Linked DNA regions of Pelodiscus sinensis. The protein of the gene in region 3 purifies or fractionates together with the protein of the main gene of each other region. This does not show direct contact. Links are inferred from orthologs where the notes say so. Each region holds a gene or a part of one and is shown on either strand. Other genes may lie near its edges. The genes, in order: PNISR, NAF1, CAMKV and GPATCH8.

Region 1 (7,099 bases), on a different chromosome or scaffold from region 3:
GGAGCCAGCTTAAAAGCCGTTTCCTGGTGTGCATTGGCTCCCAGGAAGCCAGCTGCAGCCTCGCGAAGCTGCCTCTGTAACAGAGGGCAAAAAATGGACAACTGCACTGTCTTATATGCATTTTCTGATGTTTGGTGAGATAAAGATGAACACACTCAGGTAATTTCAAGTCACCATAACCTGCCATATTTCTTCACCTGTCTGTGGATTACATAACCTCACAAATCTGTGACTAATGTAACAAACATATCAAAACTCTTCTTAAATTCTTATATAGATGATTACATTGATATATAAACAGCTGCAGGACTGTAAGTTTACACAAGATTTTTTTTAAAAGTTGTGGTAAAAATTCTACTCAATTTAGAAAACATTCAGAAAAAAATTGATGGGTGCACAAAGAAGTGAAAACAAGACATCCCAATTGAGAGAACTGGCACTGGATTTTTCAAGAGATCATCTAACATACTGCATTTCTGAATAGTACGATCAGTCTATTTTTAGACTGTAATATGCTTCCTGAAGAATCTGTTTTCTACCGAAACCAAGCATACTGATGAGGTACACTGCTAGATACATAAGTAATATCTGTGCACCAAAGAAGGGAACTCTTACAATACTTGGCTAGCAAAATAAATGTAAAACCCATCCAAGGCCCAAGGCAAAATGTAACCTGTCAATAGTAACCTTATGAATTCATACCTGATTTGCCAACCCCGGAAGGAGAGAAAGAAACTGGAGGCACCTGCCCCTACAAAATCTTACTTTGCATATGGATGAACCAAATCAAAGGCCTAACCTGCTTGAAACTGGGGGTTTCATTTTAAAGCAAGAACATGTTACATTCCTCCCCATCCTGAGCGGAAGGCTTTTATTGTGTATTTCAGAGAAGACAATTACAAGCATGATAGTAACAGAAGAAATAATACATTAGACACTATGAGGTTACATTTCTCCAAATCAGACAGCTCCCAGTTTTCAGTGGAACAACGGCTACATAATTAAGGACCCAAACCCTCAGTCCTTATTCACAGCAAGCAGTACATCACTAAATCCTTACACATCAGGGTAATTATGTTCCTAGAAATCTGTGTGTATACGAAAATGCACAATATAAACTAAGAATAAACAGGAAAAACAGTATTACATTCCCATAAATGATAAAATTGTCAAGTTGGGGGCCTAAGGGCTGGGTGTGTGGGACTTGGGAGGGATCACGGGGTACCAGTTCTGGGGAGTGCTCACCTCAGGGGATTCCGTGTGTCTGCAGGAGGCGAAGATGTGACCAGGCGGCTCTGCATGTTGCCTCTGCTCATAGACAACACTCCGGGAGGGAGGGGGGCAGCGCATAGAGCCACCCTGGCCACATCTCTGCCAGGAACAGCAGGCATGAGGAGCACTTTCTAGTGCCCCATCTCCTTGCTCTGAGCTCCCTCTATACCCAAAGCCCTCTATCATGAGCATGCTACATAAAAATAGTACACACAACATAAAAGTAATAGGTCACTAAAACAAAACTATGATATGTAAAAAATGGGTGCTACATAAAGATTTACTGTATTCATACACGATGAGAAGTACTGTGGCACCTTATAGACTAACAGATTTATTGGAGCATAAGTTTTCGTGAGCAAACATCCACTTTGTCAGATGCATTTTGACCACGAAAGCTTATGCTCCAATAAAGCTGTTATTCTGTAAGGTGCCACAGGATTTCTCATTGTTTATGCAGATTCAGACTAACACGGCTACTCTTCTGATGCTTGTGTTCACACAAGCAGTCCCGCTCCATGGAACTGCAAGTGTAAGTATTACTCACTCAACAGGAGTAAAGATTGAAAGCTTGAGATCTGATTACAGCATTTAGAAAAGTTACATCTCTGCTGAGCTGTTCAACTAAGTATAGGCATTTTGCAAATTATAATATTGGTAATACTGCTCCTTAGGAGCCATGAATGTAATGATCATCAGAAGTGAAGATGCAACACAATATATATTTCATATTAAGCATTTAAAAGAGTTATCCTGTTAATTTACCAGTTATAGAATCCTAAGGCTGTTACTGAAAAAAACCTCACTCGTAAGTATTCATGCGTTGGTCATTAGCGCACCAAAATAACACTACATCACTGTATCAACAAGTATTACAGCTAGCAGCTGAAGCAGCTCTCTTTAAGCTAAAAAAAGAAGGGTTTGTGTTTTTCCATCAGGCAGACCATGAACCTAGCTCTACTGCTACTCACTGTCTTGCAAGTGAACAAGGCACAGCCCGAGGCAGAACCGTCTCTGCGACCTAAACACAGCACAGCCTGAGTGTATGCAAACCAGTAACCAGGATGGCTCAACTACGGTTCAGAAGCAGCCCTGGACACAAGGGGCAGGTCTCCCACGCCTACAGGCACACGGCAGAGACATCAACAAAGGGTTTCCCTTCCCGCTTGCATAGCACCGTGTGCCACGCGCTCCAGCCCATTGGGTTCTGCCCAAGTTGACCACTCACGCATGCGCAATACGGGATTATGAGACCCGTCTCCATCAGTATCTTGCATATCCCCCCGCCCACCCTCAGGACAGCAGCGCATGCGCACCGCGAGAAACTGGGGACCACTTTCTCCAGTCACCTCGGTTGTACCCCAGCTCTCTCTCGCAGCGCATGCGCAAGTGCCAACCGCCACGGGGGTGCAAGATGCTTTTCCTCATCGGAACGTAAATCCCCCCCAAGGGCAGAGGGAGCCTCGCGCTAGCCACGAGCTACTCGAACAACCGCGCCGAGCGCCCTGCAGCTCCTCCCCCCTCGGCTCCGCGGGGCGGCGGTGCCGGTCGCTGCAGCCCCCGGTCTCTGCGAGAAGCGCCGCCCGCCCAGTTACTTACATGCGCCCTCTCCTCCCCCCGCCGGTCACAAGCGGAGCTGCGACGTCTCCTTCACCGCCACCACCGCTTCCTCCCCCCTTTACTCCTCGTCTTCACGAACAAGACAACATGGCGCCCGCTGGCTTTCACCCGGTAGTGAAAAGTGCGTCACTGAGCTGACCGCTTCCTGGGCAGGGTGAACGCTCTCGGCCGCCATCTTTAATGTGGGCAACAGACTGGTCGTCGGCAACGCCTTAGCAATCGCCCTCTTTACTAAGGGGAAGGAGGCTTGCAGCCATCTTTAGCAAGGGCAAGCTCCACGCCTAACCCGCCTACCGAGGGTGACTGCACCGCTGTCACGCCTACAACGTAGGGCGGAGAAACCCCTGTGGCTTCGGCAGCGACCGCAAAACGCTGCTGCTGGGCAACGGGAGGTATCTTGAACTGAGCTACAACAGCCGCCCGATCAACTCCTCAGCCTCTCTCCCCTCCCCACTCCATGCTGCTTTCCTACAGCCTCACCTGTGCCCCCTTCCATCTCTGCCACGTGCCGCCCCCTACTCCGTCGCTCCCCCAGCCTCATCACCACACCCCACCCGCTTCACCCAGTCTCCCTCACCGTGACCTGTCACGCTCCTACCTAGCCCCTACACCCCCACACAACGCCTGTCCTCCTCCCTGATCCTCCCACACTTTCTACCCCACTACATGCTGTACCCGCCCCACTCCCACAATCCTCATTCCTTACCCACCTCACCCCGACCTATATCCGCCCTCGCAGCCATCTCACACCACCCCCTTTCTCATAGCCACCCTATACCAGCCCCTATTCCTCACCCACACAACCTGTACCATACAGATCCCTCAACCCTCTCCCCAGGTACACCATCAACATTTACCTTCCTCTTTGTATACATTCCCACCCCAACCCATTTCCCTCCAGGCAGACACACTTTTGTCTCATTCCATACTCCTTGCTGCACACAGACCTCTTGCTACATCCTGTATCCTTCTCTTCACTAAAACACACCTCTGTTCACCATAACTCATCCTCTTACACACACATACATGCAACCTCTACACTTCCTACACCCAGACAACCACAACCTATAGCTTTCCTTACATAGATACTCTTGCCATAAGCCAAAGCTGGTGTCATCTCTGGCCTGTTGAATGATGAGGTCGCGTGCTGAGAAAATGTGCACTGATGCCCAAATTGCAGATGTCCTGAATAGGGACCTGCACTGAGAAAGCAGCTGACAATGCCTGCGATCTCATAGAACAAATGATCAGGTTAATTGGAGGCGGAGCACCTGCCTGATCATAATACAAAGAATAAAATTCTCTAAGCAGAGAGAGGAAGGCCTCCAAGCCTATTAGTTACCACTATAAACAGCTGGCTAGATCTATAGAATGTCTCAGTCCTTTCTCTGTAGAACACTAGGACCTGCCTCATATCTAATGAGTGAAGACATTGCTCCTCTATTCACATGCGGTTTCAGGCAGAAAACCAAACTGAAAATTGCTTGACTGCAATGGAACTGTGAATCATTTCCAGGAGGAAAGAGATTGCAGGTGTAAGTGCACCTTATCATTTAAAAAAAAAAATCAAGGTACAGTGGTTCTGATGTGAAACATGGAGCTCCAACAGCCTTCTGACTGACGTGATGACCACTGAGGCGGCCATCTTTTAGAAAGATGTGTTAATGAGCATGTTACTAGCAGCTCAAATGGGGAATACATAAGCTTTGATAAGATGAGGTTTAGGTTCCAGGAAGGAATGGGTTCTCTAATCTGAGGGTATAACTGCTAACTCCTTCAGGAAACAGACATCACACAGGAGAAGAGACACCTGGAGTGAAGAATGTGACAGCGAAATTGGGCTCTAGGAAGACCAGATGGAGAACTGCTTCTATTTTGCAAGGTAAGTAACCTTGATAGAGAGCTTCTTACTACCTAACAAAACCAGATCACCTCCTCTCCCAGACTGAGAGCTAAGGTTTGGATGGGGCAACCGACTGTGATCAAGTCTGGATGTAAAGGAAGCAGATGTGGGGCTGCCACCGAAAGAGCAGTGGTGAACTAGCATGGCCTTAGCCATGCTGGAGCTATGAAAATGATTCAGTCCCAGTTGCGCTTGATCTTCATCAGAACCTCATGGACTAGCAGAATAGGGGAAAAGCATAATACAGCTGATTTATCCATGGTAGCAGGAAAGCATCCAAGAGATACCCTGGGCAGTGACTTTGCCATGAACAACACGAGTGGCACTTCCTGTTGATCTGGATAGCAAAGGTGTCTATTAGGGGATTTCTTTAATTGACATGTTTTTGTTACACTATCCCAATTAAATAGTAAAAAAAGTATGGTCTAGAAGGAGTTTTCAGGAACACTTTGTGGACACGTCTTAGGGTCAACTACAGTACCTGAAAAACTGGCCAATTGTATGGCTGTCGTGGCGACAACTACCCGAAGTGTGGAAAACTACTCCAGACTTCAGTAATTATTGATTTCTGAGGTGTTTTACTAATCACTTGTGAACATCTGTTAGTACTCAATACTAAAAGTGCAGTTTTCGATGAGAGCATACTCAGGCTAGGTCTACACTGCAGGCTTCTTGCACAAGAACTTCTTGTGTAAAAAATCTTGCACAAGAGTGCATCCACACTGCCATGTGCTTTTGCACAAGAGCATCCATAGCAGTGTGGATGCTCTCTTCCTCAAGAAAGCTCTGATGGACATTTTAACCATAGGGGGTTCTTGTGCAAGAAATTCATGTTGCCTGTCTACACTGCCTTCTTGTGGAAGAGCTCTTACACAAGAGGGCTTATTCCTCATGGGGAGAGGAATAACTCTTCCAGAAGAAGCCCTGTTTTCCGATGCTATACTGTAAATTTACTTGCTCAAGAAGATGCGTGCAGTGTAGATAGCCGGCAAGTTTTTGCGCAAGAACAGCTGTTCTTGTGCAAGAAGCATGCAATGTAGACACAGCCATATTGTTTGTTCTAGTCTGTCAGTTGGACAGCTGTGTGTGATTTATTTCCTGCCACCACCTTGACAAGAGTAATCGTTAACGAGAGTTTTGGGTTTAAGAACACCAGTAACAGGCCTGGAAAAGCGACTGTATGAGATGGATGCTGGACTCTACTCTGCCTTTAACTAATTAGTCACCAAGATATGGGCAGACATGTACTTCTCGTTTCCACAAAACCACCTCCACTACCATCATTAATTTGATGAAAACCCACAGAACAGTCTGTAGGCTGAATAGGAGTACCATGGACTGGTTGTGTGCGAAGCTCACAACAAATCTAAGTAACCTTTTGTAGTGCTGGAAAATCTATATGTAAAAATAGATATCCTTTAAATCAAGTGCAGTATACAATCCCCATGATCCAGAGAGGAAATTATGGAAGCCAAGGAAACCATGCAAAACTTTGGCAGGGCATCTAGCTGTGGAAGTGGGGCAGGTCTACAATAGGTTTGAGACTACCCTTGGCTTTTGGAATTAGGAAATAATGGGCGATAGAATCCCTTTCCTCTTAAGTTTTGTGGAACCTCTTCCATAGCTCTTTTGACATTTTGGACCAAAATTTGCTTGTGAATTGCATCTGCAGGATTCCTGATGAGTAATAGGAAGGAAGGGTGTGAAATCGGGATAGAAATATGGGTGTACTCCATTTCCACCATGCTCAGTACCCAACAGTTTGTGATGACACGGGACCAGGCATTGATGACATGGCATATGTATCTGAAAAAGGAAAGGTAACAGGATCTGATATACCTGGGACTGGTATGGTGAGCTCAAGGGGCTATCAAAAGGTCCCATTTGATTACTGAAAGGAAGGGAGAATGTGAGACAGTAAGATAAACTCACAAACATTTATTTAAATAACAAGAAAAACAGCTTGGTGATTTTGTGTCTGTTAGGCATTAAAGCCCAGGACTCCTTTCCCTCACAGATAATGATTAAAATCTCTCTCAGTATATTAGAGTGCATCTGTATCTGTGTCTCTGCAAGTCCATTTGTTCAGGAACTCTTCCTAAACAGTAAGAAGTAGGGCCACCAAATTTGGTATGCAGCTTCCTCTTTTAACTTAAGGCAAGGTCAGGGTTTGGTTGTGCTAGGAGAACCAGAATGTCACAGGAAAAGACTGTTTTCCAATCATGCAAAGGGAGAGGTTGCTGTTTCCAGGGACACGATATGAAAGTGGTGACTGGGGGCAGCACGCCTGTAGGGAAGAATTGT
Region 2 (7,611 bases), on a different chromosome or scaffold from region 3:
GGTAACAGGCTTCAAACTAGTAACAGAAAGCTGTTCTTCACAAAGCACAGAGTCAACCTGTGGAACTCCTTGCTGCAGGAGGCTGTGAAGGCTACAACTAGAACAGAGTTTAAAGGGAAGTGAGATCAAGTCATGGAGGTTGGGTCCATGGAGTGGTATTAGCCAGGGGGTAGGAGTGGTGTCCCTGCCCAAGGTTTGTGGAAGGCTGGAGAGGGATGGCACGAGACAAATGGCTTGGTCACTGTCTTCGGTCCATCCCCTCCAGGGTCCCTAGGGTTAGCCGCTGTCGGCAGACAGGCTACTGGGCTAGATGGACCTTTGTTCTGACCCAGGACGGCCATTGTAAGCTCAGGGCTCAAGGTCGGGGTCTCAGTGGACCACCTTGATTTTCACGCACTCCTGCTCCTGGGTGGCCAGGCTGGCAGCTCTCCTGCCCTAGCTGGCCACATTCCAGTGCCTATTGCGGAGATCGTGGACAAGGTCCACGATGTCCGCACTAGCCCAGGCGGGTGCCCACCTCTTGCGGTCCCGGGCAAGCTCCCGGGAGCCGCCAGCCTGGTTCCGGGAAGAGGGGGAGGGCTGGGGAGCATCGGGTGGGTGGCTCGATTCGTGCTAGGTGCAGGGTTTGCTGGCTGGGTGCTGGCAGGCTTGCACCTGGCACAGGCACCGTAGCCAGCCCGTGCCCCTTTAAGAGGTACGGGGCCGGGAGGGGGGCAGACGAGTTTCCCTGGTGTTGGCCAGAGTGGCCACCAGGGAAACCTGGGGAGGGCTAGCCTCCCACTAGTTCGAATTAAGGGTCTACACAGCCCTTAATTCGAACTAGTAAGTTCGAACTAGGCTTAATCCTCGTGGAATGAGGATTACCTAGTTCGAACTAAGCGCTCCATTAGTTCGAATTAAATTTGAACTAACGGAGCGCTAGTGTAGCGCCTATGAAAGTTCGTTCGAACTAACGTCCGTTAGTTCGAACTAACTTTGTAGTGTAGACATACCCTAAGTAAGTAAAAGTTACGGACTTTGGAAACAACTATGAGCCCTTCCTCTCTCCAAAGGGGACATGCCTGAGGAATTGTGTGTTGGGGGACAAGGGGAATGTCTCTTAGGGGGGCGCACAGGCACTAAACATTGGATGGACACCAGTGATAGGATCAGGCTCATTGTTTCCTGTCTTAAATGATCCTATGAGTTCTCTGAAAGGCAATTCAAATGTCTGTGGAGCACGCTATGTCAAGCTTCCAGCATGTTTTTTCTCATCATGGATATGATGGGATTCACAGTCTCAGCAATAGTCTCAGCTTGGCTAGCTGCTGTAGGAGGAATTTGAGGAAGTGGTGGTACTCCCAGACAGAATTTAGCAACAGGCAGTGTCCAGAAGTGTTCTGCTACCAGGTGGACTATAGTACATTGAGTACATTGTCCATTTCACTCTGCACATTTTTATTGCCTGTGCTGTATCTCCATTTGTAGGACACAGGTCATTATAGCCTCATCCTGGCTAAGACTTTTTTCTTTCTTTGCACTAAAACTCAAACTTCTCCTGATTCCTTGTGTCTATGCCAATGAGCAAGTCTGCCAGAGTCCTCCTCTGTTGTATTCTCTCTCTATTGCTGCTGCTGAAGCCCGGAAGAATGGTTCCTCTGTTAGCATTGGAAAGTCCTTTTAAGTAAAAAGAAATGTAGCGTTACATTTCATTTTTTTTCTCTTGGAAGATACTTGTTTCTTTCCACATAAAGCAACTATGTTGTGAAAGGCCATAATCACAGAACAATAGAACTGGAAGGGACCTCAGGAGGTCATCGAGTCCAGTCCCCTGCCCTCACGGCAGGACCCAGTACCATCTAGGCTGTGTCTAGACAGGCAAGTTTTTCCGCAAAATCATCTGCTTTTGCGGAAAAACTTGCCAGCTGTCTACACTGGCTGTTCGAATTTCCGCAAAAGCACTGACGATCTCATGTAAGATTGTCAGTGTAGCCAGACAGACCCCCCCCCCCCCTCACATCCATCTTATTTGCCTCTCTGAGGTTCCTGAAGCATACAGGGCAGAGAAGGAGCAATAAAATCAGCATAGTCTATGCTGGCTCATCTGATCCTGAGAAGCTGAAAATATAGATGTGAGGAGAGAGCGATTAAGGCAATAAGCTGACCTCGAGGCTGCGAGAACTGCCCCGGCTGGCACCCATGTTGATACGATCACACACAGTCATCCCTGGGAGAGGAATCTCCCACTGAGAAAAGAATGCCCAGTACTTCCAATTTAGTTATCTCTCTTACAAGTGTAAATTAAGTTCACAACTCCCTTGTAATAACTGGTCTCACAAAAGACAGACCAGCACCATTTGGCATCACAGATAAGAAAAAGAAATACGTGACCCTATGGGTATAAAGATGGGTCCAGCAGCACACTCACTTTGAGTGTCAATCTACCCTCTACCTGCTGGTCAGGTTAGGTGTTTTGACCTCCCGAGGTTCCATGGGGACGCCCACCTCGTATTTTCGTCTTTCCTACGAATTGAGGGACTGGCCCTGGCCTGACACACTGGAGTCGAGAGGCACAGAAGGGGGTAAAAATTGTACCTGGATGTGGTCCTCTGTCTTAAGTGTACACATAGACTTAGAACTCTTTAAAGATTAAGCTGTTACTTGGTACTATTATTTCTATTTTTCTATCTTTATCTTCTTTGTAACCATTTTTAAGATCTATATTTGCTAGCAGTTAAGAAATAGAGCAATAGCCATTGTAACCATATGATTTATAAGCTTCTTTAATAAACCTGTAACTGTTTAAGTTTTAACCTGACTCCTTCAGTTGCTGTAACAGAACCAAGCACAATTTAAAAGAACTTCAGCCGGTCATAAGGGACAGGTATAGGAACACACCCTGCCCTGACCGTCGGCTGACAGTCAGTGCTTTTGCGTAAAAACTATGCTGCTCCCGCTCGGGCAAAAGTCTTTTTCCAAAAGACTTTTGCGCAAGAGGGCCAGTGTAAACAGCACAGTACTGTTTTCCGCAAAAAAGCACGTCTAGATTGGCCACGGACGCTTTTCTGCAAAAAGTGCTTTTGCGGAAAAGCGTCCTGCCAATCTAGATTTGCCTTTCTGAAAATGCTTTTAACAGAAAACTTTTCCGTTAAAAGCATTTCCGGAAAATCATGCCAGTGTAGTCATAGCCCTAGAGTATACCATCCCTGATAGATGTCTATCTAACCTGCTCTTAAATATCTCCAGAGATGGAGATTCTACAACCTCCCTAGGCAATTTATTCCAGTGTTTAACCACACTGACAGTTAGAAAGTGTTTCCTAATGTCCAACATAAAGACCCCTTGCTGCAGTTCAAGCCCATTGTTTCTTGTCCTATCCTCAGAGGCTAATGAGAACAATTTGTCTTCCTCCTTGTGACACCCTTTTAGAAACCTGATGACCACTATCATGTCCTCTCTCGTCTTCTCCTTTCCAAACTAAACTAGCCCAATTTTTTCAGTCTTCCTTCATGGGTCATGTTCTCTAGACCTTTAATCATTCTTGTTGCTCTTCGCTGGACCTTTTCCAATTTCTCCACATCTTTCTTGAAATGTGGTGCCCAGAACTGGACACAATACTCATGTAAACTCATGGATGTTCAGCCATTTCTTGCTCTTGGAGGAGTGTGGGGTCCCAGAGGCATGTGGTACAGGAGCAAAGAGGATATCATCTGAGAGGGAGTGGGTCTTTTTAAAACTGACAGCACTGGTCAATGTTTGGTTCCTGCCACTGCTCAAAGTCCTTCACTGGAGAGACCTCCCCACAGGCTGGCGATGCAGAATAACATGCTCCTCTCCCTTTGGGCCCTTCTCTAAGGCTATGTCTAGACTATGGAGTTTTTCTGGGATAACAGAGGTACCTCAGAAAATCTCTGCCGCATACAGGGAATGCGTCTACTCTTCCGACATTTTTTTGTGGGAGAGGAGACACGCTCTTTCGGAGTCCTGCCTTCCTCGTATTAGGAAGAAGGGCTCTTCTGAAAGAGGTTTTTCCTTTGTTTGTCCCAATGTAGACAGCCCAAATTTCGGAAAAGCCTCTTCCGACAAAACAATCAGAAAAAGGTATGTGGGGCACAATTTGCGTATCTTTTTCCGATTAAAAGCGGCAGGCTAGACATAGCCTAAGATGCCTCACCCTCCTTCTCCTCTGTGTCCCATGATGCGAGCAGCCCAGCAGGGGTGAGGAGAGTCTCACTCACCCGGCTGGGCTCGGCACCTGCAGCTCTGGATGTGGGCAGCAAAGGGCACAGGGCCAATGGCCAGGCAGGCCCGCCACTGCCTGTGAGCCGAGGCCCTGCTTTGGAGCTGAGAGGGGCGGGCACGGAACCATGCGCGGCGGGGGCTTTGCGCGCGGTCACACAGCAGCACCCCTGGCCCATTGTCAGGGGATGGGGGGTGTCCAGGCAGACACTCTCGGACGGGGACTGGGGAGACCAGGCTGAATGCTGGACCCGCCTCCTGATTGACAGGCGCCGTGGCTCCGCCCCTGCGACTGGCAAAAGTGCCGAAAGGGAGGAGGAAGAGGCACCCTTAAGGAGCTGCTTCCCCGACACTCGCGGGGGGGGTTGATTCTTTGCGCATGCGCGCATAGCGAATAAGGCGGGGCGAGAAGACGCTGGCGCCCGCGGGCTGAATGCGCACGCGCCGCCATTCCTTCCGGGAGAGTCGTTTCGCTTCACCGCTTCTACCGCGCGCACGTGTGTGTGTTTGTAGAGGAAACCGGAAGTTGCGTTTGGAAGGGGCGAGAAGCGCGGCCGTTAGGCACGCGGGTTGCAGTGGGAGAGATGGAGGTCGTCGCGCAGCTGGAGACGCTGAAGTTTGACAACGTGCCGGCTCCGGGGAGTCCCAGCGCTTTGGGGCCGCAGCTGGAGCAGGGCCCCGGCGTTAACGAGGCGCGGGAGCCCGGGGGCGGCGAGGAGCAGGGCCCCGGCGTTAACGAGGCGCGGGAGCCCGGGGGCGGCGAGGAGCAGGGCCCCGGCGTTAACGAGGCTCGGGAGCCCGGGAGCGGCGAGGAGCAGGGCCCCGGCGTTAACGAGGCGCGGGAGCCCGGGGGCGGCGAGGAGCAGGGCCCCGGCGTTAACGAGGCGCGGGAGCCCGGGGGCGGCGAGGAGCAGGGCCCCGGCGTTAACGAGGCGCGGGAGCTCGGGGGCGGCGAGGAGCAGGGCCCCGGAGTTAACGAGGAGCAGAGTCCCGAGGGCGGCGAGGCGCGGGAGCCCGGGGGCGGCGAGATGGAGGTCGTCGCGCAGCTGGAGACGCTGAAGTTTGACAACATGCTGGCTCCGGGGAGTCCCAGCGCTTTGGGACCGCAACTGGCGCAGGAGCTCGGGGGCAGCGAGGCGCGGGGCAAGGCCTCGCCCCCTGCGGCCGAAGCAGCCCATGGCGCTGAGGGCTTGCAGGAGGAGCAACCCGGGGAGACAAGCACCGACTCGGACAGGTGCGTAGCCCGTGTTAGTCCCTGTGCCGGCCGCCCACGCCCACTGCCGTGCCAAGCCCGCCACCGCTACTGGCCCTCGCCGCTCGGGTCGGGTCGCTCTTGGCAGTAGCAGCGGCGGTGGACCTGAGCACGGGTTTTGTCAGTTTCACCTTGTGCGGCTTGGGGAAGCGCTGGGCAGCAAGCAGAACCCTGGGCCTGTCAATATGCACTGTCTGGAAATTGTTATCGCCCCGTTCACGTGTATTTCAGTTGTTCTGGTTATCCCGGTGTACTCTTGTGCTTTGTCCTCCACGTTCTCACAGATATGGGATTCCCTGTGGAAAGGAGGAGATCTGAACATACATGCTGAATATGTGAAAACTCAGTTAAGAAAAAATTCAAGACAGGATGTAACTGTCTAGTGATTGGTATTAAATGGTGTTTTAAGACCAATCCTAATATCTAACTTTTGTGCAATGGAGAGGCTTTACAATGGTCCATCTAGCCTAATATCATGTCTTCTGACAGTGGCCAGTGCCAGAGTCTTCAGGAGGAATAAACAGAACAGGGTTTCACCCAGCGTTCTATTCTGTATGATCCACTCCCAGCTTCTGGCGAGCAAGTTGTGGACACTCAGAGCATGGTGTTGCACCCCTGAGCCATCTTGTCTAATAGCTGTTGATGGACGTATCCTCCATGAGTTTATATAGCTTTTTTCTGAACCCTGTTATGATTTGGACCTTTACAACATTCCACAGGGTGATGGTGTTGTGTGTGTGGTGGTTCTGTTTTAAATCTGCCACCTACTGATTTAATTGGCTGATGCTTGTCGGATTTTCTTATTTACTTTCCATACCAGTCAAGATTTTGTAGACATCTATCATCTTCCTTTAATCATCTCTTTTCCAAGCTGAAAAGTCAGTCTTTTAAACTTCTCATACCAAAGCTGTTCCATCCATCTAACCATTTTTGTTGTTCTTCACTAAACCTCTTTCGATTATAATACAGGTTGAACCTTTCTAGTCTGGCACCCTCGGGACCTGACTGGTGCCAAACCAGAGTATTTGCCAAACCACAGGAGGTCAATATTGTCTAGCAGCATTACCAATACTTTCATTGCTTACTGGACTCTTAGAAGACATTTTAGGGATTAATTAATGCTAAATACAGTCACCATTCATGGCTCTCTGTTAAACTGTATGAACCACAGGAAACTTGGCCACACCCTTGATAAAGTGGATATCTGGCTAACTAAAACCATGCTGGACCACGGATGTTGGTGGACATACAGGTTGAACCTCTTTAATCTTTTTTTTGAGATGATGTCCAGATTTGCATGCAGTATTAAAGATGTGGACATTAGGGATGTAAGAGTTTAGATGGTTCTAGTTACCAGTTAAACTCCTCCCATGGCATGGGCCTCTAGCGGGGTAAAAATTACTGTTTAAATGTCTCACTGATTAAATTGTAATCAATTAGATGGTTAGTATTTTTTAATTATTTTTACATCCCTTGTAGGCATGCCAGGTATCTATATAGAGGCATTATATTTTCTGACTTCTCTGTCCCTTTCTTAATGGTTCCTGATATTCTGTGTCTACTTGAGTTATAACTGTGCACCATAAACTTTTTGAATTGCACTGCTTCTGTGTGGAAGTCAAAGTGTTGCTTCTTACCTATGAAGTCTAATGGCTTAGGACTGGCTGCTTTAAAGACATCTTGTGCTTTGTGTACCTTTCTGACAAGGTAAATAGAGAAGCCATTTTCAGGAGGTTGTTGCTGGTTGTGAAACTTGTTCCTTATCTGTAAGAACTGGGAGTTATATTTTGCACTATGTTCTGAAAGTATCTTTTGGAGCAAACATTTGCTTGACTGGGCTAGACTTCATGTTAATGTTTTTGTTGGTTGTAGAGGAATGATGGCTGTGTTCTCTGCAGCTGATAGTTTAATAAGTGTAATGTTGTCTTATGCCTAAGTTATAGCAATAGACACTTAAAACACCTTAACACAAATTTAATTACAATAGTGCAAGCCTAGTAAAATGGGGCCTCAGTCAGGGCTATATAAACACTTGTAGACCCAATACATTTACAATCTAAGAAATATAATTGTCTTGTCCCATTGCTGGTAACTGGCCTGTTGTGCCCTTTTTTGAGTTAGGATAATAGATTTAAGTATAA
Region 3 (8,001 bases):
GGAAAGGTATAACAAGTGGGGTTCCACAGGGGTCTGTTTTGGGACCGGCTCTGTTCAATATTTTCATCAACAATTTAGATATTGGCATATAAAGTACGCTTATTAAGTTTGCAGATGATACAAAGCTGGGAGGGGTTGCGACTGATCTGGAGGATAGGTCTGAGGTAAACAGGATGAAGTTTAATAAAGACAAATGCAAAGTGCTCCACTTAGGAAGGAACAATCAGTCTCACACATACACAATGGGAAGTGACTGTCTAGGAAGGAGTCCGGCAGAAAGGGATCTAGGGGTTATAGTGGACCACAAGCTGAATATGAGTCAGCAGTATGATGCTGTTGCAAAAAAAGCAAACATGACTCTGGGATGCATTAACAGGTGCGTTGTGAGCAAGACACGAGGAGTCATTCTTCCACTCTACTCTGCACTGATTAGGCCTCAGTTGGAGAATTGTGTCCAGTTCTGGGCACCACATTTCAAGAAGGATGTGGAGAAATTGGAGAGGGTCCAGAGAAGAGCAACAAGAATGATGAAAGGTCCAGAGAACATGAGCTATGAAGGAGGCTGAAAGAATTGGGTTTGTTTAGTTTGGAAAAGAGAAGATCGAGGGGGGACATGATAGCAGTTTTCAGGTATCTAAAAGGGCGTCATAAGGAGAGAAAACTTGTTCATCTTGGCCTCTGGGGATAGAAGAAGCAATTGGCTTAAACTGAAACTGCAGCAAGGGAGGTTTAGGTTGGACATTAGGAAAAAGTTCCTAACTGTCAGGGTGGTCAAACACTGGAATAAATTGCCCAGGGAGGTTGTGGAATCCCCATCTGTGGAGATATTTAAGAGTAGGTTAGATAAATGTCTATCAGGGATGGTCTAGACAGTATTTGGTCCTGCCATGAGGGCAGGGGATTGGACTCAATGACCTCTCGAAGTCCCTTCCGGTCCTAGTATTCTAGGATTCTATGACTTCTTCCCAGCCAGGCAGGGGACTGGTCTGTGAATCACTCCAGGCTTCCACGTAGTCTGTGCGCTCGGGTGTGACTGTCGTCCTTTCACCGCAGTGTGTTGGGAACTCCCTCTGCAGTTTAAAAGTCCAGGTGCTCTTCAATTCTGGCCCCAAAGCATCTTCGCAGGGGTCTGCTTTACAGTAGAATGGGCACGATCCTGTCCGCAAATGGAAGCCTTGCTGTCTCGGGTGGGACTGGAGACACGCCGTGCAGCTGCGGGGCCGCGACAGGAAGGAGCAGATACGGCACGTTTGACACCACTTCCACAAACTCTTTGGATGCGAGTGGAGCCCCGCTGCCACGCGCCGGCTCCCAGCCTTGAGAACCAGAGGCTGCCGCTTTTCCTGTGACGCTGAGCTGTCGGAACTCACGCCCGGGTACGTGGACGGCTCGCACGGTGCCGTGCGCTCCCTGGGCCCTGCAGTCGCCACCCGCCGCAGCCACAGAAACTCCTGGGTTCAGCCCGCCAGGCTCACCGGCCCCTCACGCAGCACTTCTCTGCAGCCAGCCCCTTGCACGCCTTCCGCAGAAGCGGCAGCACTCGGTGCTGGGGGCAGAATCGTCCCAATCTCACGATCAGGGGAAAAGCTACAGCAGGGTCCGCCTGTGAACGGCCCCCCCCCCCCCCATCTTCTCAGAGGACCCCCCCACACACACAGGGCCGGGCAAGCTCAGCCGGAGGCGTCCGGGCCAGACTCACGTTTTGATGACCTGTCCCAGGTCATATCTGTCCGTCACCTCGGATGGCTGGTTGTAATCCTTCTTGTCTCCCAGGGTGACGCAGCCAAACGGCATCGCCGGGGCCGGTGCTGGAAGGCAGAGAAGCAGCGAGTGAGGAGGGCGTTTGCATGACCCTGCCACTGGGCCACACTGCTTCCTCCGGGCCTTGCTGGTCAGGCCCCCCCGGCTGCCAGTGGCCTTTCTGGCACTTCCTGCCCCGCTAAGGCAGGGCTCCTTCGCAGTCCCCTCCCCCCAGCACGGCCATTTCCCATTCCAAAGCAGAGTGCCAGCTCCCTGCTGGGGTCTTCCTGCCCCGCAGGGGGTCAAACCTCACTCCGTGCAGTCCCACCACTTCGCGGCTTCTCCCCAGGAGAGAGTCCAGCGCGGCTCAGCTGATTGGCAGAGCGCTGGTGGTGCACATCCGCACAAGCCTTGGTGCGCAAAACAAATTTATTCCACACGGGTGGAAACGATCATTGGGAGCTTTGCCGTGGAGTGGGGCTGACTGAGGCCAGGTCTGTGCCCTGTCACCTGCGCTCACCAGCCTGGTGGCCCAGCTGCCAGGAGGAAACTGCTCCCCCTCGTGCTGACACTGAGCAGGGGGCTGCCAGTCTGCTCACCAGCCCAACACCCAGTGAGGGCCGCCAGCCACACCCGCCCGCAGAGCCACTGCAACGGCCCGGAGCACGGCAGGTTCCTCTGCCCAGGGTAGGCAGGCGCTGGGTGCCCGATCCCAGCCCTGCCCAGGCAGACCCAGCGTGCCCAAGCCTGCCCCGGTGGAGCGGTCTCTGTGGGCCCCATGGCCGCACCGCGTGGGACCCGGACGCACGGCCCAGCAGGCAGCCGGCCGGGCCCTTGGCTCTGTCCCCCCCCCCCCCCTTCCCCCGGCCATTCCCTGCGGAGCCCGGCTCTGGCTAGAGGAAGCTGGTGGGAAACCCTCTGGCAGTGCCCTTTGGTTCCCACGTCTCCCCCCCCCCCTCCGCTGCTGTGTCTGGGCCCATGGGCTCCCAGCGCTCTGCCGGGCAGCGGGATGCCAGCCTGGGCACGTGGTGACCAGGGCGCTCTGCCGCGCGGCCCAGCCTGCTGCAGGCCCCGTGTGGGCACCTCTCCGCCCGGCCTGCTCCATGCCCTGGCACTGGGCCTGCTGCAGCACGGGGCAGCCGCTAGCCGGGCCACGAGGGGCTGGGCTGGGCGACTCCCGCAGCAGCGCCCAGGGCCATGCCCTGCCCGCACAGCCCAGCTGCAGGGCCACGGGGCAGCTCAGGCCGGGAACCAGAGCCCCGACCCCCTTGCTCCCTCAGCCGGCCCCACCCCCTCCTCACAGACTTGCCTTTATCCTTCTGTACAACTCCCATTGCCATAGCAACAGGCTCAGCGCCTGTACCCAGAGCAGCACGCACTGTGCCTCCCCCCGCCTCCAGCAAACAGGTGCTGAGACCCTGGCCCAGACCCTCCCCTCCCCTCCTGCTGTGGGCTAGGGAGGAGCAAAGAGGGGGCCCCCTCCCCAATGCCTCCAGCTGGCCCCGGGGCCCCACTGAACAGCTGACTGGGGCCAGTCCGGCTGGAATCACTCGACTGATGGGCCCCGTTTTATTTCCAGCTGCTCCGGGCTCAAGCAGCCCTGGAGCCAGCCCCTTGGCTGGCTCTGCAGCGGGACGCTCCCTCCCTGGCCTGCCGCGAGCCAGGCACGGCCCCCCCCCCCACATCCGCACAAGCCTGACGCTGGGGGTGCTGGGCCAGGGCTGCCAGCCGGCTGATGGCCAGGGCCCTACCAAACCCACAGCGCTTCCAGCCTGTAGCATGCAGATTTCCCGGGGCCCCCAGCCTCTCTCAAACTGGGCTCTTGACCCCAAGAGGGAGCGGCCGGGGGTTACCAGGTTGTTTTGGGGGAGGGGGAGTCACAGCATTGCCACCCTTACATCTGCACTGGCTTCACAGCTGGGCAGCCGAGCGTGGTGGTGGTGGGCCTGGCCCCCAGCCCCGAGGGCAGCACCCCACCCGTGGCAGGGCAGACGGCTAGCAGTACTGCACCCCCACACACAACTCCTTCTGGTCAGGGCCCCTACAATTACAACACCCTGAGATTTCAGATGGGAACAGCTGAAACAATGAAACCGACTGTTTAAAACCCTGTGATGTGAAATTGACCAAAAAGGACCATGAATTTGGTGGGTTCCTACTTGTTGTGCAAACCCACAGACCCTTGCCCCCACCCCTTCCCCGAGGCAACACCCTTCGTCCACCCCTCCAAGGCCCCTCCCTGTCACTCCACCCCCGCCCCTCACTCACTCACTTCCAGGCTGGGGCGGGAGATTAGGAGCTTGGGGGGGAGGCAGAGGATCAGCACTTACCTTAGGCTGGCACTTCTGGGAGCCACCCAAGTGTCTCCTAGATGGCTGGGGGTGGGGGGAGTCTCCATGCCCACAGCTCCCATTGGCTGGAGACTGCAGCCAATAGGAGCTGCAGAGTCAGAGCTCATGGTGAGGGCAGCAGAGATGGGCTGGCTACTTCCGGGAGCAGCGTGTAGCAAGGGAAGCAGGAGGCTGCCTTCGGGAGCGGCCTGAGGCCGGCTGCAGCAGCTGATGCCCCAGGTGGAAGGCGCGATCGGCACCCCCGCTGTACGGCTGCCAATGGCCGTGACGTACCCATCGGGCACCCGGTGACGTCATCATTGGGTGCCCCAGGCCAGTGGCGCCCTAGGTGACCGCCTAGTCTGCCTAAGCTCACGGGCCGCCCCTGCCTGCCTTGGCCCTGCTGTGCTGCCGGCAACAGCGGCTCCCAGGCCCTTCATCACCCTGGCTCCTGGAGAATTGCCCCTTGCCCTCCCCCATCCAGCGACCTGCGCTCCCACTTGGACAGCTGTTCGGCACCAATGACCTTGCCCTGGCTCATTCCCGCTCACCCTACCCCAGGCCGACGTGCTTCCTGGGCAGCGGCCGGCTCCATCCCAGCACCCACGCCCGAGCAAGTCAGTGGCCTGCCATTGGCACCTGGCACTGCACGGGCCCGTGCGGTGGGTGAACCCCTGCCCCATCCAGATGGCAGCTGACCGCTCCCGCAGAGAGCCGAGCTCAAAGGTACCCGTCATCCCCCGCTGGCCCATGAGCTCTGGGGTCTCAGCCTGGACGGCAGCCCCCGTGCTGCTAGCGAGAGCAGGTTCTTGCTGGGGAAGGATCCAGGGCCACTGCACAAGGGGATAACAATCTACTACTGCTGCAGACTAATGGAGCCACATGGGGGGATGGCCTGTACCTCAAGCTCCTGGGAGCAACGCCTGCGGATAAGTCATGAACACTGTGGGAGGAGCCCCCCATCTTCCTCTGAGATTAGCTGCTGTTTGTGCAGGAAATGCCATAGCAAGCAACCTGTCCCCGGCCCTCACCATGCTGCGTCAGGAGGAGCTGCAGACCGAGGGAGCCAGGGATCAAATCACTGGCAGGAGGCAGTACACGGGTTCAGCTGGCAGCAAGGGGTCCGGGGAGAGGAGAGGGTGTGGGGCCGGCCACCACGAGTGAGGGATTCGCCAGGCCCAGGGACCAGGCTGGGGGGGCGGTCCTGGGGGTCTGGCCTGGCGTGGCTGGAGCTCTGACTCTGCCGGGCAGCAGTCACTGGAACCACGCAGCGATGCCCTGTGGGGCTGGGCGCACGGGGCAGCAAAGGGGGCCAGGGAGCTCTCCTGGCTGCGTGGGAAGGACAGCCCCGGCAGGCGGCGAGTGGGACGTGAGGGAACAGCAAAGCGGGGCCGAAGGGGGCAGAGGAGGGGGGGCAGAGCGGAGCCAAGGGCGGGGCAGGGGCTTCCCTTTTCCTTCGCTCTAGTGACTAATGTACCAGCCTGGCCCACTAAGAGTCAGGTGCCCGGTTCTTGGGGGAGGGGGAGCGGGGGAGGGGGGCCCATGGGCAGGAGGGGAGAGGACACGTGGGGCCAGATGCGCCCCATAGACAAGGTCAGAAGGGGCCCGGTGCCACTGCAAGGTCTGGGACTCACGTGCAGCATGCCGTGCCCGGGGGCAGGCTGTGCCCAGCTCTGGGGGGAGGCGGTGGTATCCAGGGCCCTGTCCCACGCCAGGCAGCAGGGGCACTCGCCCTGGGCCCTGCCACAGGGGGTTGGGCCCCCGGCAGCCTGCGGGCCTGGCCCAGCGGGAGCTGCCCCCAATGGCCCAGCCCTCTCCATGCCCTCAGCCGCCTGCCCGGAAGGGGCAGCGGGTTCCCCGGCCCACGAGCAGGGAAAGGAGGTTACACGTCACCCCAGCACTGGGGCTGGTACCACGTCTGACCAGTTCATTCCCTGGCGGGGCTGTGCTGGCAGCCAACACACCCGCAAAGCAGGGCCTGGGCCAGCTGCTTCTCTGCCCCCATCGCCCTCTTCTCGGCCGGCCCAGCCCGGGCTCCCCTGCTTGCTGCCGTCAGTGCCTCGGGGCCCTCCGGGGCCTCCGCTGCAGGCTCCTGGCCAGCCTCCACCCCAGGAGGAGAGCGCAGAGCCCGGAGGAGCCGGCGGCACAGGGCAGGCGGGTGAGCTACAGCACGTGGGAGCGGCCCCAGAGGGAGCAGGCAGGGCAGCGGGAGAGACGCAGCCTGGCGCCACGTACAGGGCAGAGTTAGCAGCTGCCTCGCGCCCACCTGCTGCCCAGGCAGGCTGAGCTGGCACAAGGCGCCTGCCTCTCAGGCAGATCATGGGGCAGCGTGAGCAACGGCCCCAATTCAGCGCCGTGGGGCCCATCTGCAGGAGCCAGGCAGCCAGGCCTGGGCAGCCCAGGGAGAGCCAGCCCCACCCCGGAGAGTGCTGGGCAGGAGCCAGAGAAGCGGGGCTCCGCTCCCGGTTGCCAGGAAAGCCCCATCCGGCCAGTGCGGAGCTGGGCCGAGGGGTCGGGGGGTCAGGACCAGTAAGAGGGGGCAGGATAGCTCTGCTGGCTAAAGCTCAGTCACTAGCAGGCAGGCACCCCACTGCCCGTCACAGCCCCGGGTGGCGCTCAGGGGACCGCAGGACACGCACCCACTAGAGCTGGCGAGGGGGACACGGCCTGCCAGCCTGGATCTCGTTTGCAGAGCCCAGCGCTTGCTCCAGAACCTGCCCTGCACAGCTGACTCAGCCGCCACAAAGAGCGCCCCAAGGGCCGATCGCAGCTCCCCGAGCAGTAGCCGGGCACACCCGCCCCCTTGGCTGCCGGGCGTTAACCCTGGAACAGAACGACGCACACAGACATCGCCCACTCACTGTGCACGTGCGCAGCGGAAACAGCCGCCAGTCCCCCTCCCCCGCTCTTCCCGCCCACACCCCTCGCAGGGCTGTCACACCGCCTGCACCGCACGAGACAGCGGGGCCGGATGACATCCAGGCTGGCGAGAGCCCCTGGCTCCCTCCTGGCTGAGTCTGCCGCCGACTGTGCCCCCCGAGTCAGGCGCCAGCGCGGGAACCTCCTCCAGGCCTTCGAGTTGCCAGAGGGGATGTTGCATTGCCAGGCTGCCCCACTAGGGGGAGCATCATGCCCCTTGGGGCGGCCTTGCACAGCCAGGCTAGGGGGCATTGCCATGCACTTGGCATGGACGAGCTGCCCAGCCCAGGGCCCCCTTTAGGGACTGGGGGGGCAAAGCGAGCACGGAATCTGGTCCTCAGCCAGCAAAGGGGAGCGCTGCCCGCTAGGGCTGACTGTTCCCGCCAGGAAAGCGGCTGGCAGCCACGCCAGGAGAACGGGACCAGGGACAAGAGGGGGCACAGGACGTTCTAAGGGAAGAGACCGCCTCGGGGAAACAGGACAGCTCTCGGGCTGTAATTACAGACCCAGCAGCTCAGCGCCGGTCCCAGGCCGGGGGCTCTGGGGAGCCGGGGGCGGGGCCGGTCCCAGGCCGGGGGCTCTGGGGAGCCGGGGGCGGGGCCGGTCCCAGGCCGGGGGCTCTGGGGAGCCGGGGGCGGGGTGACTGGGGTTTTATTGCTCAATCTGAGAGTATCCAGTAAGGTGGCACATGAGTATCCTGCACGCCCCACCAGGGGCCACGTGCCCCCCACTGAGTAGCGAGTGTGATCGGGCCCTATGGATGGCCTAGGGCAACGACCCCATACCCCTAGGCTGGGCGGGAACGTAACTCTGCCATGGGCGCGTGGTGGCGGAGAGCAGGAAGGGCCAAGTGAGTCGGTCCATGTTCCTGGTACGCTAGAGACCCCAAGCAGACTGGGGAAGGGCCGCCGTGCATGCACACGCACACGCACGCGCACCCGCGCAGCCCCTGCCCCCAGCGCCGAGCAGCTATTTAAGGCACGCCGCCGCAGCGCAAGACACAATAGCTGGG
Region 4 (6,917 bases), on a different chromosome or scaffold from region 3:
GGCATCCTCCTGGCCCTAGTGGCAAGACCAGCAGCATGGCACATACCAGGCCTGAGCTTCCCTCTCTAGCCACTGCCCCTCCCCTGTGCCAAGGCATGCCTGCCCTAACAAAGCCGACCCAACCAGACCAGACCAAGGTGCTTCTCCAAGAATCAGCCCTGGTACCTTCCCCGCTGAGGACCTAACTAAGGAAGGTACCTCTGCTGGGCAGCTCCTTATATACAGGGCTGCCCCCAACAAACTACACTCTGATTGGTTACTTAAAAGCCTCTCCCTCATTGGCCAGGGCTCTGCACAGGCTCTCTGCAATCACCCCACCGCAGCGTGGGATGGGCTTGCTTCTCATAAAACCAAACAGAAAGGAGACAATCCTCAAAGCAAGTACAAGTTCTAAAAGTGACGTAACAGAGCGAACGTTCCCAGCTCCTACTGCCTCTTAAATTGAGGAGCCGCAGCAGGGTTTGTGCCAGGACTGAGCCTGGGCAGCCCCTGTCCATGTGGGGGGAGGGGTCCCAGCGGGGAGTCTGGACCCACCCCGCAGAGAGGGGCTGCTGCTGGTCCAGCCTAGGCCTGCTGCAAGCACATGCTGCTTCACGGCAGCCTCCCCTGGTCCCCTGCCCCACGCTGCTGCTTCTGATAGAGGCAGCACTGAGGGGGGAGCAGGCGGCACTGCGGAGATGGTGCTGGGGGAACTGGCTTTTAAGCTGGCACCCCCCAGCACTGGCTCCTTGCTCTCCTCCCCCCACCTCTGATACAGAGGCAGCAAGGTGCAGAGGGGGAGGGGGGAAATTGACTTGACTACCCAATAAGCCTAGGCTGACTGGGCCGTGGACTACTCGCTTAAATCCCTAATTTGGAGCAGTGCTCTGTTTTGGAACAGCTACATCAATGCTGAAGGTTTGCAAGCTACAAGAAAATGTTACTGGAAATTAAACTGAAAATGTTACTGGAAACTATGTTTTTGTTTACGAAGATGAAGAAACAAAATACGCCTGATGAAACTCCCAAATTACAAACCTGAGCAATGCTGGGTAAATCCAGTGGCATAGATCTGCAGGAGCTGCATGCCTCATACCCCTCCCATCTCTCTCCTTCTGGCCCCACCCCCATCAGGGTTCCCTCTAAGGTGTGTGCCTGTGCAGGTGGGCACTAAACATTTGAGCCCACCCACCTCTGCAGAAGAGCTGTGCAGTGGCTGCCATATGGTGAGTGGCTGCCCCACTCCAGAAGCAGCAGGGCAGCCACCATGTGGCCCTGGCCCTGTCTTTAGCCCTCTCCAAGGGCTGGAGCTGCAGGCTGTGTGGCAGGTGGAGGCTGCTTTGACGGCCCCAGCCAGGGACAGAGACAGCACATGTGGCAGGTGGCCCTGCTTGGGGCCAGAACGAGAACATGGGGCCAGAACATGTGGTGTGGAGGCCCAGGGCTGCTCCTCTGGTCAGGGCATCCCTGGGACCAGGAACAACTTCACTGCAGCCCTGGCAGCCACCTGCCACATGGCCCACCCTGGGAGCAGCCAGCTGGAGCTGGGGCCAGGGCGACGTGGTGGCTGCCCAGCTGCTCCTGGGGTGGGCAGTGTGGTGGCTGTCAGAGTTGGAGCTGCAGCTGGGGGCACGCTGCTCCAGGGTTGGGGGTGTGCGGCCAGGGTGTCAGGTGTGGAGTGGCCACTGGAGGAGTTGCATTCTCCCCACCCCCCATGTGGAAGGACAAACAAGGCGTTGATGGTGGTGGAGGGCTGGCCAGTGAATCGGGCAGGGGCTGCAGCGCAGAACAGGGAGAACGAGGCCAAGAGCTGGCAGGGCCCTGCAGAGTGCAGCAGGGAGGTGGCCCAGCTCAATTTGGTCACCTATAGCAGGGGTGGCCAACCTGTGGCTCCAGAGCCACATGCGGCTCTGCAGAAGTTAATATGCGGCTCCTTGCATAAGTACCAAATCCAGGCCTGGAGCTACAGGTGCCAACTTTCCACTGGGCCAGAGGGTGCTCACTGTTCAACCCCCAGCTCTGCCTTAGGCGCTGCCCCTCCATCCTTCCCCCTAGGATCCTGCCACTTCCCAACTTCTCCACTGAGCCTGTCACACCCATGCTTCCCTTCTCCCGTGTCCCCCACTGAGAAAGAGCTGATCGCAGGAGGCAGGCGGAAGAGGAGGAGGCGGCACTGCCCGTGGGTGGGGTGTGCTGAGAGCGGCCATGGAGAGATGATCAGGGCTGGTGACCGAACTGTGGCTCTTCGGCAATGTGCATTGGTAAATTCTGGCTCCTTCTCAGGTTTAGGTTGCCCATGACCTACAGCATGTGCAGGCAGCACATCCAGAGCCAGTGGCCCAAGCTGCTGCCCTGCCTGCACTACTTGACCGCTACCTCATGCTGCCCCCCCCCACTCTCCCATCGCCTTGCCTGAGCACCACCAAGGAACTACAGCCTCCTGCGTCCCCTCCTCGCTGGTCCCTTGGCCGACCTCACCCCTGCACTGCACTCTGGGTAAGTTGTCTGTAATGGCATGTGCTTTTTATTGTACAGATCTATCTGATCTCTCTAGTACTATGCCAGTAATTTATCCAAAAAATGGGGAAGACAGTTTAAAAATTGTACAAGTTTTTTTTTTTAAAGTGTAAAAAAATAAGCCATTCTGTAATAACGTTGGTAGGCCCCTTATTGGTATTTTTGTTCTATGAATATACTGAGTTTGATAGGTGATTAGATAGTGCTGGAAATAGGGGAAGCAGGAAGCCATCCCTCAGCAAATTAGGATTGGTAAGGGACAGTGTCACAGCTATTTCCTCTGAATATTTTACTTCCTCCTTGCCAACCTGCAAAACTACACTGACCCACAAGAAAGCGGGTGCTGTGACTGAAGGGCAGAGATTGTGTGAGTTTAATGAAAGGTGTATCCCCCCAATAGCACCTTATCAGGAACTAGCCCTTAGAGACCTTTGTTGTCACTGACTTGGTTACATATTAAGTTCCTTCTAGGCTGCAGCAGCAGCCGGGCTCGGTGTGCCTGCTCCTGGGGCCAGGGCCACCTGCATCCCGCAACCGTCTTTCCTCCCCTCTCCGCCCTCTGGCCCTGAGCCTCCCGCCCCCTTCCACGTCCTGCCCCCTTCTACCCCTCAAGCCCCCCCACCAACTGCAAACCTGGGCACTGTGAGAGTCTCTTGGGGAGCAGCGCCGGGGCGGGGGTGTGTGTCACAGTGGCACCCATCCACGCAAGCACCCAGGACCTACTGGCACCCAAGACAAAACTCACTCCACTGCTGGATGGAAAATCTTAGAGGGAACATTGCCCATCCCCCCAGCTTCTCCCCCCCCATGCTCCTCCCCCCTCAGCTTCCTCCCAACCCCATGCCCCTCCCCCCTCAGCTTCTCCCCCATGTCCCTCCCCCCTCAGCTTCCTCCCAACCCCATGCCCCTCTGCCCCTCCCCCCTCAGCTTCTCCCCCATGCCCCTCAGCTTCCTCCCCACGCCCCTCTGCCCCTCCCCCCTCAGCTTCTCCCCACCCCATTCCCCTCTGCCCTTCCCCCCTCAGCTTCTCCCCCCATGTCCCTCCCCCTTCAGCTTCCTCCCAACCCCATGCCCCTCCCCCCTCAGCTTCTCCCCCCATGCCCCTCCCCCCTCAGCTTCTCCCCACCCCATTCCCCTCTGCCCCTCCCCCCTCAGCTTCTCCCCCCATGCCCCTCCCCCCTCAGCTTCTCCCCACCCCATGCCCTCCGTGCCCCCCAGCCTGTGCTCCTCCCCCATCTATCCTCCCCCCCATACCCCTCTGATCCCTCCTGCCCCTCCCCCTCGGCCTTCAGGCTCCCCTACCTCCCGCCCCTCCCCCCTCTCTATTCCCCCGCCCCGCGCTCACGCGCCTCCCCCAATCCCGGGCGCAACCGCTCTGAGGCCAGTGCGCCTGCGCGCGGGCGGAGGCGGGCGGGGCCGCGCGGCGCGCTCCCGCGGCATGACGAGGCGCGCTCCCGCGGGCGGGCGGCGCTGAGAGGCCGAGGCCGGCGGGGGCGGCTGCGGCGGAGACGGCAGCAGAAAATGGCGGACAGGTTCTCCCGCTTCAACGAGGACAGGGACTTCCAGGTAACCCCCCCGCGGGGAGCCCCCCCGGTCCTGTTCCCCGGGGGGGTCCCGGCCTCCGCGGCCTGCGCTGCCGGGCTGGGCCGGGCCCGGGGGCGCCTCATCCGGCCCGCGGGCGGGGCGCTGCGGGGACAGTGGCTGGAACCCTCGGCCTGGTCGCAGCCCGCCTCCCGCCCGCACGGCCAGTGGCCTCGTCCCGGCGGGCTGGGGGAGTGCGGGTCGGTGGAGCCGGTTAGTCTGGGGCAGCCGGAGCAAAACGCAGGGCGATGCAGCGCTGTGCAGACTAACCAGATGGTTTATTGGGCGAGGAGCTTTCGTGGGCCGGACCCACTTCCTCAGATCAATAGTGGAAGAAAATCGTCACAGCCAGATACACCAAAGGATACAATTAAAAAATGCACCCCCCTCCTGTTCTGCAATGTGATTGGTCCTTCTCATGCGCACTATTTGATCTGAGGAAGTGGGTCTGGCCCACGAAAGCTCATCATCTAATAAACCATCTTGTTAGTCTTTAAAGTGCTCCATAGCCCTGCATTTTGCTTGGGTTTAGTAAAGTGGAACTTCAGAAACCTAGCATTACAGAGGGGAGGAAGATAATGTCTTCGTATTTAAAATGCCCCAATTCCAAGAGTAAGAGTATTGAGAATTTTTTAAAAGAATGTAGCAAGCAGAAACAGAAACAACTCAAAGGGGTAAACATCCATGAAAAGAAGACTTAAATATTGACAGTGAAGTTTTTCAGAAATGTATTCATCTTGGTTTCTCCTTCAAAAAACAACAAATCAGTATGTGTCTACACTGGCTTTCTTCTTTGATCATTTTGATTCTGTTGTTCTTGATGAATGCTACAACAGATCAGGGTTTCTAATGAGAGACTTTTCAGTTTCCTGACTGGGTTATCTCGCGTTCTTGTCCAGTTCTGAGCTAGTTTCCTGCTTCCCTACAGAATGGTATTTACACTTCTATATGGGGAAAACAAAAAGACCATCCATGTTTCTCCAGCTGTCTGCTGCATGTGCTAAAGACCCTGCCTTACTGGGAAAGTGCATACTTTATTCTTGTATAAAAATTGATATATTCTTTCCATAAAATTAACACTTGCTACCGGGTGTTCAAACTGTATTAAAAAATTCACTTTAAATAAAGATCAATTTAAAAACGGAATTGGCATTATTGTTTTACAGGGCATGACAATTCATGTTACCTAGCCGAAGCATGATAGATTCTATTTTATTGTAAAACACAGTTATTAAGTCAATGTCAATTAGAGGGCATATATTAATTAACTTTTACTTATGAGATCATCTTTATGTTGACTGAAGGTTCTTGAAATGTTTTGTACCTATATACTACTGCCTTTCATCTAAGCCTGAAGATGACCAATCAAAACCCACACAAATCTACTTAATGCATTCAGATTACACATTAAAAAAACAGGAAATACACTAGTAATTTCAGTTTGAGGGGTAGCCGTGTTAGTCTTTTGTAACTTTAAAAACAACCTAGTCCTGTGGCACCTTGGAGACTAACAAATATAGTATCATGAGCCCTTGTGAGCAAAACCCACTTCTTCAGCTGAGATGATCTTAATGACTAAGAAAAATGTGTCACTAAGGTGCCACAGGACTGCTAGTAATTCAGTCATACAATGTATGTTTTACTACATAAAACGTGTTTTTAGCTAGAAACCATAAGAATGGGAAATAAATTGTGCAAACGTAGTGACTTGACTTTGCTTTGTGAATTTTAACCATGTGCTTTAAATGCTGCCTTAACATAGACTTTTTGCATAATTTCCTTGTTTTTCCTCAATTTAAAAAATACTTTATATATAAATGATCCAATTAGACTTTCTAGTTCATTTCTTGGTGGGATTGATTTCTGCCATTCAAGGAGGCTTTTTAGTTGAAAACAGTGTAGGTCATGAAAAATTGCAAAATTCAGCCAAAAAAATTGCTCAAACTTGGGATGTTACGTGTGTATTTTGTTAATTGTGTAGTTGACAAAATTTTGTCGACTACACGATTAATCGGTATGTGTTTGCATTTCAAGTGCTCAGTCTCTGCTCTAGTTGGGTTCCTTCAACTACCCCTGCTGTGGCTCTGAACTAGAAGCACATCAAGAGCTGGCACGTGAGAAGGCCAGCTCAGTCCCAGCAACTACTGCAGCAGGATTAGTTGGCTGGGACCTGGCACGAGCCGGTACTGAGGCAGCCTGCCCACGTGCTGGCTCCTGGGTCCCATAATAATGCAGAACAGCAGCGGGGATTGCTGCCAGGACCCGGCCTGAGTCTGGACTGAGCTAGCCTATGAGCCAGCCTGCTAAAAAAATTTACTTGAACAACATGGAGGGGAGGAGGGAGGGACTGCGTGTAGCCGATAGCATTAACTGATAAAACACCTGCTTATCGGTCAATCGTTTAATCGACTACACTATTACATCCCTAGCTCAGACTTAGGGATTCTACATTTTTTTTTCTGTGCTTGCAATTTTCTTTCTTTCCTGTGAAGGGAGTATTTTTATACATTCCTTACTGCTTCATTTCCCTGGTTATACTGGCAAAATGTCCTGTTGAAAAGGATGCGGATCTCCATTAGTCCTCAGCTAAAATCAGCTAATCATGCTCAGATCACTATTGAATATAAATGTTATGTTCCTACAAAGCTAAGAAAAGTCTTTGCTCTTTAATGAGGACTACATTAATGCTAGGTTTCTAGCTCCAGCCACTTTTGCTGCATCTTAAAAAATAAAGTGGTGTTGTTATATTGAAGTAGAACTTTTTTCCCTAGCCTCTCCCAAAAATTACAAATTGCTGAAGGAAAAGTTTTCCCTCTCAGTGGGCGTGGGTGGATATCAAT

The links.
Region 1: the proteins of CAMKV (region 3) and PNISR purify together in Homo sapiens (affinity purification with mass spectrometry; 3 studies listed by BioGRID and IntAct, counting the BioPlex papers as one, with this or other methods). This does not show direct contact. The link is inferred for Pelodiscus sinensis from reciprocal best matches to the Homo sapiens genes CAMKV and PNISR.
Region 2: the proteins of CAMKV (region 3) and NAF1 purify together in Homo sapiens (affinity purification with mass spectrometry; 3 studies listed by BioGRID and IntAct, with this or other methods). This does not show direct contact. The link is inferred for Pelodiscus sinensis from reciprocal best matches to the Homo sapiens genes CAMKV and NAF1.
Region 4: the proteins of CAMKV (region 3) and GPATCH8 purify together in Homo sapiens (affinity purification with mass spectrometry; 3 studies listed by BioGRID and IntAct, counting the BioPlex papers as one, with this or other methods). This does not show direct contact. The link is inferred for Pelodiscus sinensis from reciprocal best matches to the Homo sapiens genes CAMKV and GPATCH8.

What each region holds. Positions count from the first base shown.
Region 1 is NC_134713.1:70,399,747-70,406,845, forward strand, and holds the start of PNISR (arginine/serine-rich protein PNISR), read right to left. Parts: upstream 3,002-7,099; 5' UTR 2,872-3,001; intron 1-2,871.
Region 2 is NC_134715.1:62,155,646-62,163,256, reverse strand, and holds the start of NAF1 (H/ACA ribonucleoprotein complex non-core subunit NAF1), read left to right. Parts: upstream 1-4,606; 5' UTR 4,607-4,802; coding exon 4,803-5,452; intron 5,453-7,611. UniProt on the Homo sapiens protein: RNA-binding protein required for the maturation of box H/ACA snoRNPs complex and ribosome biogenesis.
Region 3 is NC_134721.1:45,788,233-45,796,233, reverse strand, and holds the start of CAMKV (caM kinase-like vesicle-associated protein), read right to left. Parts: upstream 3,011-8,001; 5' UTR 2,846-3,010; coding exon 2,824-2,845; intron 1,809-2,823; coding exon 1,700-1,808; intron 1-1,699. UniProt on the Homo sapiens protein: Does not appear to have detectable kinase activity.
Region 4 is NC_134739.1:1,370,176-1,377,092, forward strand, and holds the start of GPATCH8 (G patch domain-containing protein 8), read left to right. Parts: upstream 1-3,907; 5' UTR 3,908-4,017; coding exon 4,018-4,062; intron 4,063-6,917.